2 linked regions of the Macaca mulatta genome follow. The protein of the gene in region 2 purifies or fractionates together with the protein of the main gene of each other region. This does not show direct contact. Links are inferred from orthologs where the notes say so. Each region holds a gene or a part of one and is shown on either strand. Other genes may lie near its edges.

What was found.
Region 1: the proteins of MED13 (region 2) and MED9 purify together in Homo sapiens (affinity purification with mass spectrometry; 6 studies listed by BioGRID and IntAct, with this or other methods). This does not show direct contact. The link is inferred for Macaca mulatta from reciprocal best matches to the Homo sapiens genes MED13 and MED9.

The regions. Positions count from the first base shown.
Region 1 is NC_133421.1:19,031,594-19,036,170, reverse strand, and holds the start of MED9 (mediator of RNA polymerase II transcription subunit 9), read right to left. Parts: upstream 3,031-4,577; 5' UTR 2,999-3,030; coding exon 2,775-2,998; intron 1-2,774.
Region 2 is NC_133421.1:49,804,632-49,809,116, reverse strand, and holds the start of MED13 (mediator of RNA polymerase II transcription subunit 13), read left to right. Parts: upstream 1-1,604; 5' UTR 1,605-1,737; coding exon 1,738-1,803; intron 1,804-3,648; coding exon 3,649-3,883; intron 3,884-4,485. UniProt on the Homo sapiens protein: Component of the Mediator complex, a coactivator involved in the regulated transcription of nearly all RNA polymerase II-dependent genes.

The sequences.
Region 1 (4,577 bases), about 31 Mb from region 2:
TTGGAGGGGCTGGGAGGTGGGACAGGACTGCTTCTTAAACAGACTTCAAGTAATCATCCTGTTCTTAGACCCACCTTCACCCCTATTTCCAGGGGGTCCTTGCACTAGAGTTCCTGAGATCTGGGGGTAGGCCATGTTTAACAAGCCAGCTGCTTAGGAGTTGGTAGATGAATTAGCACTGGTCATTCACTTTGTAGCGATCATCTCCTGTCCTATTCTTTTCGGTTTTATGCTTTTTATTTTTGAGATAGGGTCTCGTTCTGTCACCCTTGCTAAAGTACAGTGGCATGATCTGGGTTCAAGTGATCCTCCCACTTCAGCCTTCCAAGTAGCCAGGACTGCAGGCACACACCACGCCTGGCTAATTTTTTTTTTTTTGTATTTTTTGTAGGGATGGGGTTTTGCCATGTTGCCCAGGCTGGTCTTGAACTCCCAGGCTCAAGCGACCAGCTCACCTCAGCCTCCTAAAGTGTTGGGATTACAGGCATGAGCCACTGCATCTGAAGGTTTTATGTATTTTTTTTTTAAGTCCCTTCTGTGTCCCTTTAGACGAAACAGAGACAAGCACATGTGATCAGCCCACTAGGTTTCACAGGTACGCTCTTGAGTACATCTCCCAACAATCCTATGACATAAGCATTCCCATTTCATAAGAGAAAAACAGGCTCAGAGAAGCTAAGCTACTTGCCCAGGTCACCCAGTCAGCACATTATAGAGCTATTACATAATCTAAACCTCTCTTTTGAGGTCCACTATGGACATATTAGAGATAAGAAGATTATGGCCTAGAAAGGTTAGACATTTATATCAATATTAGAAGGCATGAAAATGTCAGTATACAGATTTGAACTCAGGACTGTCTAACTTCAAAGCCTCTTCTCTGTAGTATAACTTACTACTACATCTTTAAGGCCAGCCCAATCCAGCTGCTTTACCAGGGCTCAAGAATATACTCTTGGGGGGTTCAAGAGCTGTCTTTGTGAATGTGTACATTTTGTGTTTTCCTTTTTCCACATTTTTCTTAAAACCAGTAAACTGGGGTTAATCTGACTAAACCCTTTATAATCCGGCACTGCCCTGGGATTATAGGGGCTCCATACGTATTTCTGTCTGTGATCATTATCACAGGCTCACAAAAACTGAACAGGCTGTCTTATCCCAGAAACATTTTTTTAAATTTATTTATTTATTTATTTATTTTTGAGACAGAGTCTTGCTCTTGTTGCCCAGGCTGGAGTGCAACGGCATGATCTCGGCTCAATACAACCTCCACCTCCCAGGTTCAAGTGATTCTCCTGCCTCAGCCTCCCGATTAGCTGGGATTACGGGCACCCACCACCACACCTGGCTAATTTTTGTTTTTAGTAAGAGACAGGGTTTCACCATGTTGGCCAGGCTGGTCTCAAACTCCTGACCTCGTGATCCGCCTGCCTTGGCCTCCCAAAGTGCTTGGATTACAGGCATGAGACACCACGCCCGGCCCTTATAAACAGTAAACACCAAGTGAAGCCAAATGAAGCCAGGGTCTAATGTGAGAACAAAGCCTTTGTAGTTATTTGAAAAGTGGCAGAAGAGCATCAGGTCATCCCACAGCAAGTGAATCTAGTTTGCTTAAACTCAAAAGTGGGTGGGCCACTAACGGTCAAGACCTTCACGTTGTAACAATTCCGTTTCAGTAAAACAGTGAAGAGCACATTCATGTTCACCTGAATGTTACTGGATTCGTAATTTTCTTTTAATTTACTTTGTGGTCTTTAATGGCTGAATAAGAGTTATAAGCCTAAGGGTTTACACCTACTATCACGTGGATATAGAGTGAAGTAACATAATGAAAATAATTTACAGCCTAGGCAACACGACTAAATTCCATCTCTACAAAAAGTACAAAAATTCGCTGGGTGCTGTGGCTCATGCCTGTGGTTCCGGTTACTTGGGAGGCTGAGGTGGGAGGATGGCTTGAGGCCTGGAGGTTGAGGCTGCAGTGAGACGAGATCACGCCACTGTACTCCAGTCCGGGTGACAGAGCGAGACCCTGTCTCAAAAAAAAAAATAATAATTTAGGCAAACACTGGGATCAGTAAGACTTTCGTGCTTTTGTTTTTGGTTTTTCCTTTACAGAGTCACTTTGAAAACTCAGGCTACCCTAAAGGCTGGCCAAAAGGATGACAATTATCTCCTTTGGTACTGTTGGAACAAAGTCAGTACAGGTGGGTCTAATCATCTCAGGCAACTTCTGTGTTTTTGCTTAGTCTAATATTTCCCATCGCCACCGCTCCCCTCTCAATCTTTTTGAATTATGGGTTATTCCCAATCATGTCTTTTTTTTTCCTTCTATGCCCCTTTTACTGTGTCCATCCCATAGCACTTGGCAGTGTCCCACACAGGGAAGATGATGCTTATCTGTTGAGTCTGTTGAAATAAGGAACTAAAGTGAGTATTACTAACATTAAAGGTGAGAAAACTGAGACTTAAAGAGATTTAATTTGCTCAAGATCGATGGGATGCACGTTTGAGCCGCTGGACAAGAGTCTGTATGTAGTCTCTAAGCTGGCTTCATTCTTAAGGATATCGCACCTCTCGGGGCTCAAATCGTTTGCTTAACTCATGGAATGTCTCTGTGGTCTTGGGAAAGGCCTCTTCCCGCTCTGGGTCTGAGTTTCCCCATCTGCGAAACGGGGGCGTGCCCTAGAGCGCCAAGGCCTCTTGAAGCTCTGAAACGGCTGAGACGAGAAGCTGGAGGGAGTATGGGGCCTGGTCCTCTCCTAGGTTCTTACCATTTGATGATGCTGTGAACCAAAGGTAAAAAGGAGTAGTTCTCTTCCTCCCTCGCGCGGGCAGGTGACTGAGGCCGTGGCGCCGGCGACTGCTGCGGCTGAGGCGCAGGGACAGGCGGCGGCTGAGGGGGCGGCAGCGGCTTGGTGTCAGGCAGCGGCTGGTCGGACGTTGGCGGCAATGCATCCTCCGCCTGTCGCCCGGCTGCCACCCCAGCAGAGGCCATGGCTCCGGGGTTAGGTTAACCCAGAGGTCGGGTCGCCGACAGCGTCGCGAACTCTATACGTCACCACCGCGCGCCCTGCAGGGGCGCAGTGTGGAGGAAGGCTCTGAGCATGCGCACTGGGCACTCGGCTGGCAACGGGGCGGAGGCGGGGTGGGGAGACTGTTGCTAGGCGACGGGCCGTGGGTGGGTCTGGGGTGCCTGGTTTTGGGTTGAGTCAAGACCCAAAATTATTTAAATATTATTAAATAGTGAGAAATAGGGGATTTATTTCAGAAATAACAATTTTTTTTTTTGAGACGGAGTTTCGCTCTTGTTGCCCAGGCTGGAGTGCAGTGGCGTGATCTCGGCTCAAAGCAACCTCCGCCTCCCGGGTTCAAATGATTCTCCTCCCTCAGCCTCCCAAGTAGCTGGGATTACAGGCATACACCACCACGCCCGGCTAATTTTGTATTATTAGTAGAGACGGGGTTTCTTCATGTTGATGGTTTCGAACGCCCCACCTCAGGTGATCCGCCCTCCTCGGCCTCCCAAAGTGCTGAGATTACAGGCGCAAGCCACCGCACCTGGCCAGAAATAACAATCTTCTTATTCCTATTCACACGATGAAGAGGGCCCCAAAGCCACAAACACAGGAAGCCTTGAGGTCAGTAAGGCGCAGCCTGGCCCAGTGCACCCAAGTCTGGAGAGGAACCACTGGACCTGCAGGAGGCGTAGACAGCACTTACCTGCTGGCTGAGGCACCAAACCCGGCCCGGCCCACAGTGCGAGACATCGAGACCTCCTGCTTAGCCCTAAGGACGCAGAGGCAAAGGGATTGCGGTCCCTTCAGTGCTGCATGGCTGCTGAGAGTCTGATAATTCAACTCAACACACTTTTAGTATGCACCTGCTGGATGGCCAGGTGTAATGTGTGGTTGCAGGGAGGCTGTCCTTGCTTTCAATACAAGGTAGAGGGGATTCGTGCCAGGAATAAATATCATATCCTGGAAGAACGACAAAGTCAGGTACTCTCCATACCTTCGGGCCAGTTCCTCAAACCCCTAGGTCCCAGTTTCCTCACCCCTAAAATCATATTTAGTTCAGAGTCATGGCAGAGCCTAAACTGCATTCTAACTTCACATTCGTGGCTGACCCCAAAAGGTCTTGTTGGCATGAGGACTCCCTAGGATCGTAGGCCAAAGATGGGTTTATGGTTATGCTTCTCAAAACAAGTTTGCTATGAGGGCTAAGTAGCAATTTTCTGCGCAATGGGGACAGCCACCCTAAGCTTAGCTAGTTAGAAGACATGAGTGGGGAAAGCTGTCAACTGGCGAGCCCATTCTGCTGTAATCCACCATCATGGGCAGTGCAGAGAGGCGAGGAGGTCCACATCCACATAGTACTATGAACAGGAGCCTTAAGAGCAAGGTGGCCAGGGAAAGGATCACTGCTGATATTTTCAGGCACATTGGGAGGGCTGTGTGGAGGCAGATCCTTGCCGAGTAGGACCATAGACAGAAGTGCTGTTGGAGGGTCCGCTGTACAGGTAAAGGGCCTCAGCACAGCTCTCTGCAGCAAGAGCTGCCCACGATGCCCCAGAG
Region 2 (4,485 bases):
TCTGAATCATCTTTTCTTCTTCTGTCTTGCAATCCTAAAACCGTCAGAGAAACTGTTTTGAACTCTTATATTGAAGTGTAACCCATCCAAGCACTGGGTGTTTTATGGGAAAGAGAATGAACCTTTTGTTTGGTTCTTACTTCTTACCACCCACTCATTTGTAAATATACAAATATGAAGCACCTACTGTGTGCTAGGTATCTTTTTTTAGGCACTAGAGAGACAGAAGTAAACAACAACAAAAACGTAGTGAGACCTTTACATACACTAGTTCTCCTGCTTCTCACAATAACTGTATGAGGTAACGATGACAACAATAATAGTTAACTCTTAACAGTGCTTATCTGTGCAGGGCCCTGGGCTACCTGCTTAATTTGCATTAACTCATTACAATAAGCTTGTGGGGTAAGGGGCATGTTTTCCCCGTTTTACAGACGAGGAAACAAGACACAGGGCAGAAAGTGATTTGCTCAAGCTTGGAACCCAGGGAGTGTGGCTCTAATTCCCAGTCTATTAACTACAGGGCAATATTTTGTTTCTTAAGTTTCTATCTTCATATCACAACTTTTAGGTGGTGGAGTCTCGTCCCCATCCAGATCGTCTGACTCCCAAATCCAGAGGTTTGCGCCTGCACCCCAGCGGCCTCGCGAAATAAATGAGAATGTCTTGGAATTTTTGTCAATACTTTCTCTTCCAAAGAACTCAAACTGATTTCCACGTAATTCCCATTGATTTGTGAAATGAACCTTCCTGGACTGTAAATTTCCCCGCAAAGACAGGGCCAGGGCCACGGGTCATTTTACACTGGCCAGGGCACCCAGCAGGTGGCGCTATGTTAGTGGCTACCAGCTGGCTGCCCAGTCCCCGGGGCTCACCGCCTCGGCCGAAAGCTTCCCGGCCCTCCCTCGCTCACTTCTCTCTCCCCCTCCCCACGGAGCCCGGGCCCACGTGACCTCAAGGCGGCCAATGGGTGAGCAGAGAGGGCGAGCTGGTCCCTGTGGCCGCCATTAAAGCGAAGGGAAAACCCGTGAATTCGGATTAAAGGGGGAAAAACACCGCCCGCTGGGCCCACAAAATGGGGGAGACTACGGCGTCCAGCCGGTGAGGCCGCAGGAGGGCAGACGTTAGGCCGGCTCGGCCCAGGGACGACACGAAGACAGAGCCAGAGAATGGTCTGAGCCCGCAGACGCCGCCACCACCTCCGCCGCTGAGGAGACTCTGGGCTTAAGGACATCGCCGCTGCCGGGCCGGGGGCCTGGGCTTCTCTCCCGGTTCTCGCCCTTCCCGCCCCTGTGTGGGCGCCTCCCCGCCCGGGAGAACCTTCCAGGGCTTGGGCTCTGCCGTCTCGGACTCGTTTTTGATTATTTATTGTGTAATTTATTATTTTTCTTGTGGTAGGGGCACACATCCCCTCCGTCTCCCAGAGAAGGACGAGCGTCTGCGGGCTCCGCAGTCCGGCCCGCCAGGCGAGCGCGGCGCGGCCCTCCCGCCTCCGGCCCTCGGCCCCGGGCGGCTGGGTGCCGGCCGGGCGGCGGGGGCTGCTCGCGGCGGCGGCAGCGGCGGCGGCGGGGGGGTGGGTGGGGAGGGCGGGCGGCCCGGCGGCCTCCTCTTCCACCGCCCCCCCAACCACTACCCCCCCCACGCCCTCCCCGGTGTCTGTGTTTCTCTCTCTGGTCGGAGGCGGCGGTAATGGCGGATGGTGGGTTGTGGCGCCGGCGGCGGCTGCTGTGAGGGACGATGAGTGCCTCCTTCGTGCCGAACGGGGCCAGCCTGGAAGATTGTCACTGTAACCTCTTCTGCCTGGTGAGTGCCGGGGCCGGCGGGCGCCGAGGGAGGGGGGCCGTGAGGTGCGCCCTTGGGCCGTGGGGGAGGGGGCCGGGTCTGGTCCAGATGCCCGAGTCCCCGGGCGAGGCCCAGCCGGAGCCGGCGCCCTGCGAAGCTCCGCGGCCAACCCCGGGAGACTGCGTTCGCTCTCCCACGGTCCCGGGCCCTGTTTGGGGAGTGTTGGCATTTTTTCTCGTCTTCTTTCGGACTCTCCTCTTCACCGTAGTCTCGTCCTCAACTTGAGCTCCTTATCTGGCAGGACAGTAACCTTTCTCTCTCTCTTAACTGTTGCTTTTCTGCTTATTGGCCTTGTATCCCAGCTTCACACTTTCCATTATTGCCCCTGCTCCCCACCGCCTTTATGTCTCATCCTTTTAATTTGGTTTCCCCATGTAAACAGGACCCCAGAACTTATGCCCCAGAAACCTGTCTTCGTTTTACATTTTTTTTGTATGAGTCAAACTAACGCAAGGTTAGTTTCTTCCTTGGGTGACTTAAGATCTCTCTGTAAAAACCAGTAGGTGCCATTTCATATGTTTTCTTTTTAAACTTTGAAAACAGTTTGCCATTTTTGACAATTTCTAGCCATCTTGCTTTTATTAGAACATAATTTTTTTTGTGCGAGTGAAGGGGGCTAATGGACGAGGTGCTGTGGTTTTGCACTGTTTCTATATTTATTGTGTTTTGCTTGCTTTTTCAGAATGTTTTGAGCAGGCTGCTCCCTTGTTTGATTGAAATGAAAAGTCCAGAGAAGCTGGGTGTAGGGATGACCATTGTGTAGGTTAGCCCAGGTCTGGTAACATCCAACAGTTGAGACTTTCAAAAGTACCAACTGTTGCAAATAACTTGGCCTGTGTGGGACAGTAGCTGAGCTTCATCAATGACTTTAAGTTTGGGTGACTTTATTTTTTCATTTTCTCCTTTGTGCTATGAGAAATATTAAGAGTATATGATAGGTAATAAGTGAGTTAAGTGGGCGGAGCACAACTAGTTGGCAAGTGTAAACTGCCAGTCATGTATCAGCAGTTTCATTTTTGGCACCTTATGCTTTGCACCTTTAAGTTAGATTAAATTATTGAATTCCTCTTGAATTTCTTTCTGGATGCTAAATTGAGATCTTTCATACTCTATCCTCTTCTACAGTATGTTTTTCTTTTCAATGTCCATTAATCAGCATCTCTTCACGTATAATACGACATACACCAGGTTTTGTATTCTATCTTATCCAACTCAGTCTATTTTTGATACTTTTAGGATCAGGCTCTTTGAAGATAGACTAGCACAAATCTGACAGTTCTTTGTGAGCAGCTATTTGACTTTTCCGACAGGGGTATGTGTGAAGAATTAACATAGATTTTTTTCAGGACTTGTTCAGATGTCTTTTCATTAGAGACATTACTTCTGTAAATGTGGAATAAAAACTCGTGATAGGGTCTTTAATAATTGATTTTCAGTTAAACGTTTGACACCAATGAATAAATGTGACCATTTAGGACAGAGAAAAATGTACTCTGTTTGTATATTGAAGTGTGTGTGTCTGTCTATATTTAACTTCATTCAGTTTCTTTTATTTCTACTTGGAGTACATATTTGCTTGCTATTCAGTGACATGGTGGTATTTATTTTTAACTGTGTTCTTCTCCCTAAAATTGTTGGTTGTTGAATTATAAAGTCATTTTTTTTTTGGTTCTAATTTGCATTCAATAGCTCAAGCATATATTGAAAAATTGTAATGTCTTAACGAAATAGGAGACATCGTATGGAGTACTTTTGTGAATATGAGTGAATATGCAATAATAAAACATCATGCTTTCTTTTCTTCAGGCTGACTTGACGGGAATTAAATGGAAAAAATATGTATGGCAAGGCCCAACTTCTGCCCCTATTCTGTTTCCTGTGACAGAAGAAGACCCCATTTTGAGCAGTTTTAGTCGCTGCCTTAAGGCAGATGTACTTGGTGTTTGGCGGCGAGATCAAAGACCTGGAAGAAGAGAATTGTGGATATTTTGGTGGGGTGAAGACCCCAATTTTGCTGACCTTATTCACCATGACTTATCAGGTGAAAGAAACTTTCCATTTCTAATTAATGATACAGCAACATTGTATACTTCTCCCAGAATATCATTTGTATTACAAAGTAAGTTTGTTTTTGTGGGACACTTAGGTAGGAGGCCAGATAAAAATTGAGCTTCATGTTTTATTTCACCATGATTATTTTATTTTACTCAAATTATCCATGTTATAGCTGGGTTTTTTAGGCTTGAATGACTTTCTCCTTTTACCACCTCTCTTCTTAATTTCTCACGGGTAGTTAGGGTCCAAGGAAGGCATGCCACATTAATCTCAAAAAATGGAATCAGGAAACAGAGTTCCTAACAAAGTCATGTAATAGTTTTGAAGCCAGATGTAACTTTTGAGTCACTTCAGCCACTGTCAAAGTTGAGTCTTTTGCATTAAATGGGCAGATGATTCTAAAAGTACTGGAAATGTAACTATCCTTGTGTTTGTGTGTGTGTGTGCGCGCATGTTTTAAGGTATGTAAGTATTTTGTTACTGTCATTTGTGCTGTTTGATTAACATATGAAGGCATATGTTAATTTAGTTATTTTTGGAAAGTGACTCATATACTGTTCTGTCACATACTCAATAAGAGACAAGTGC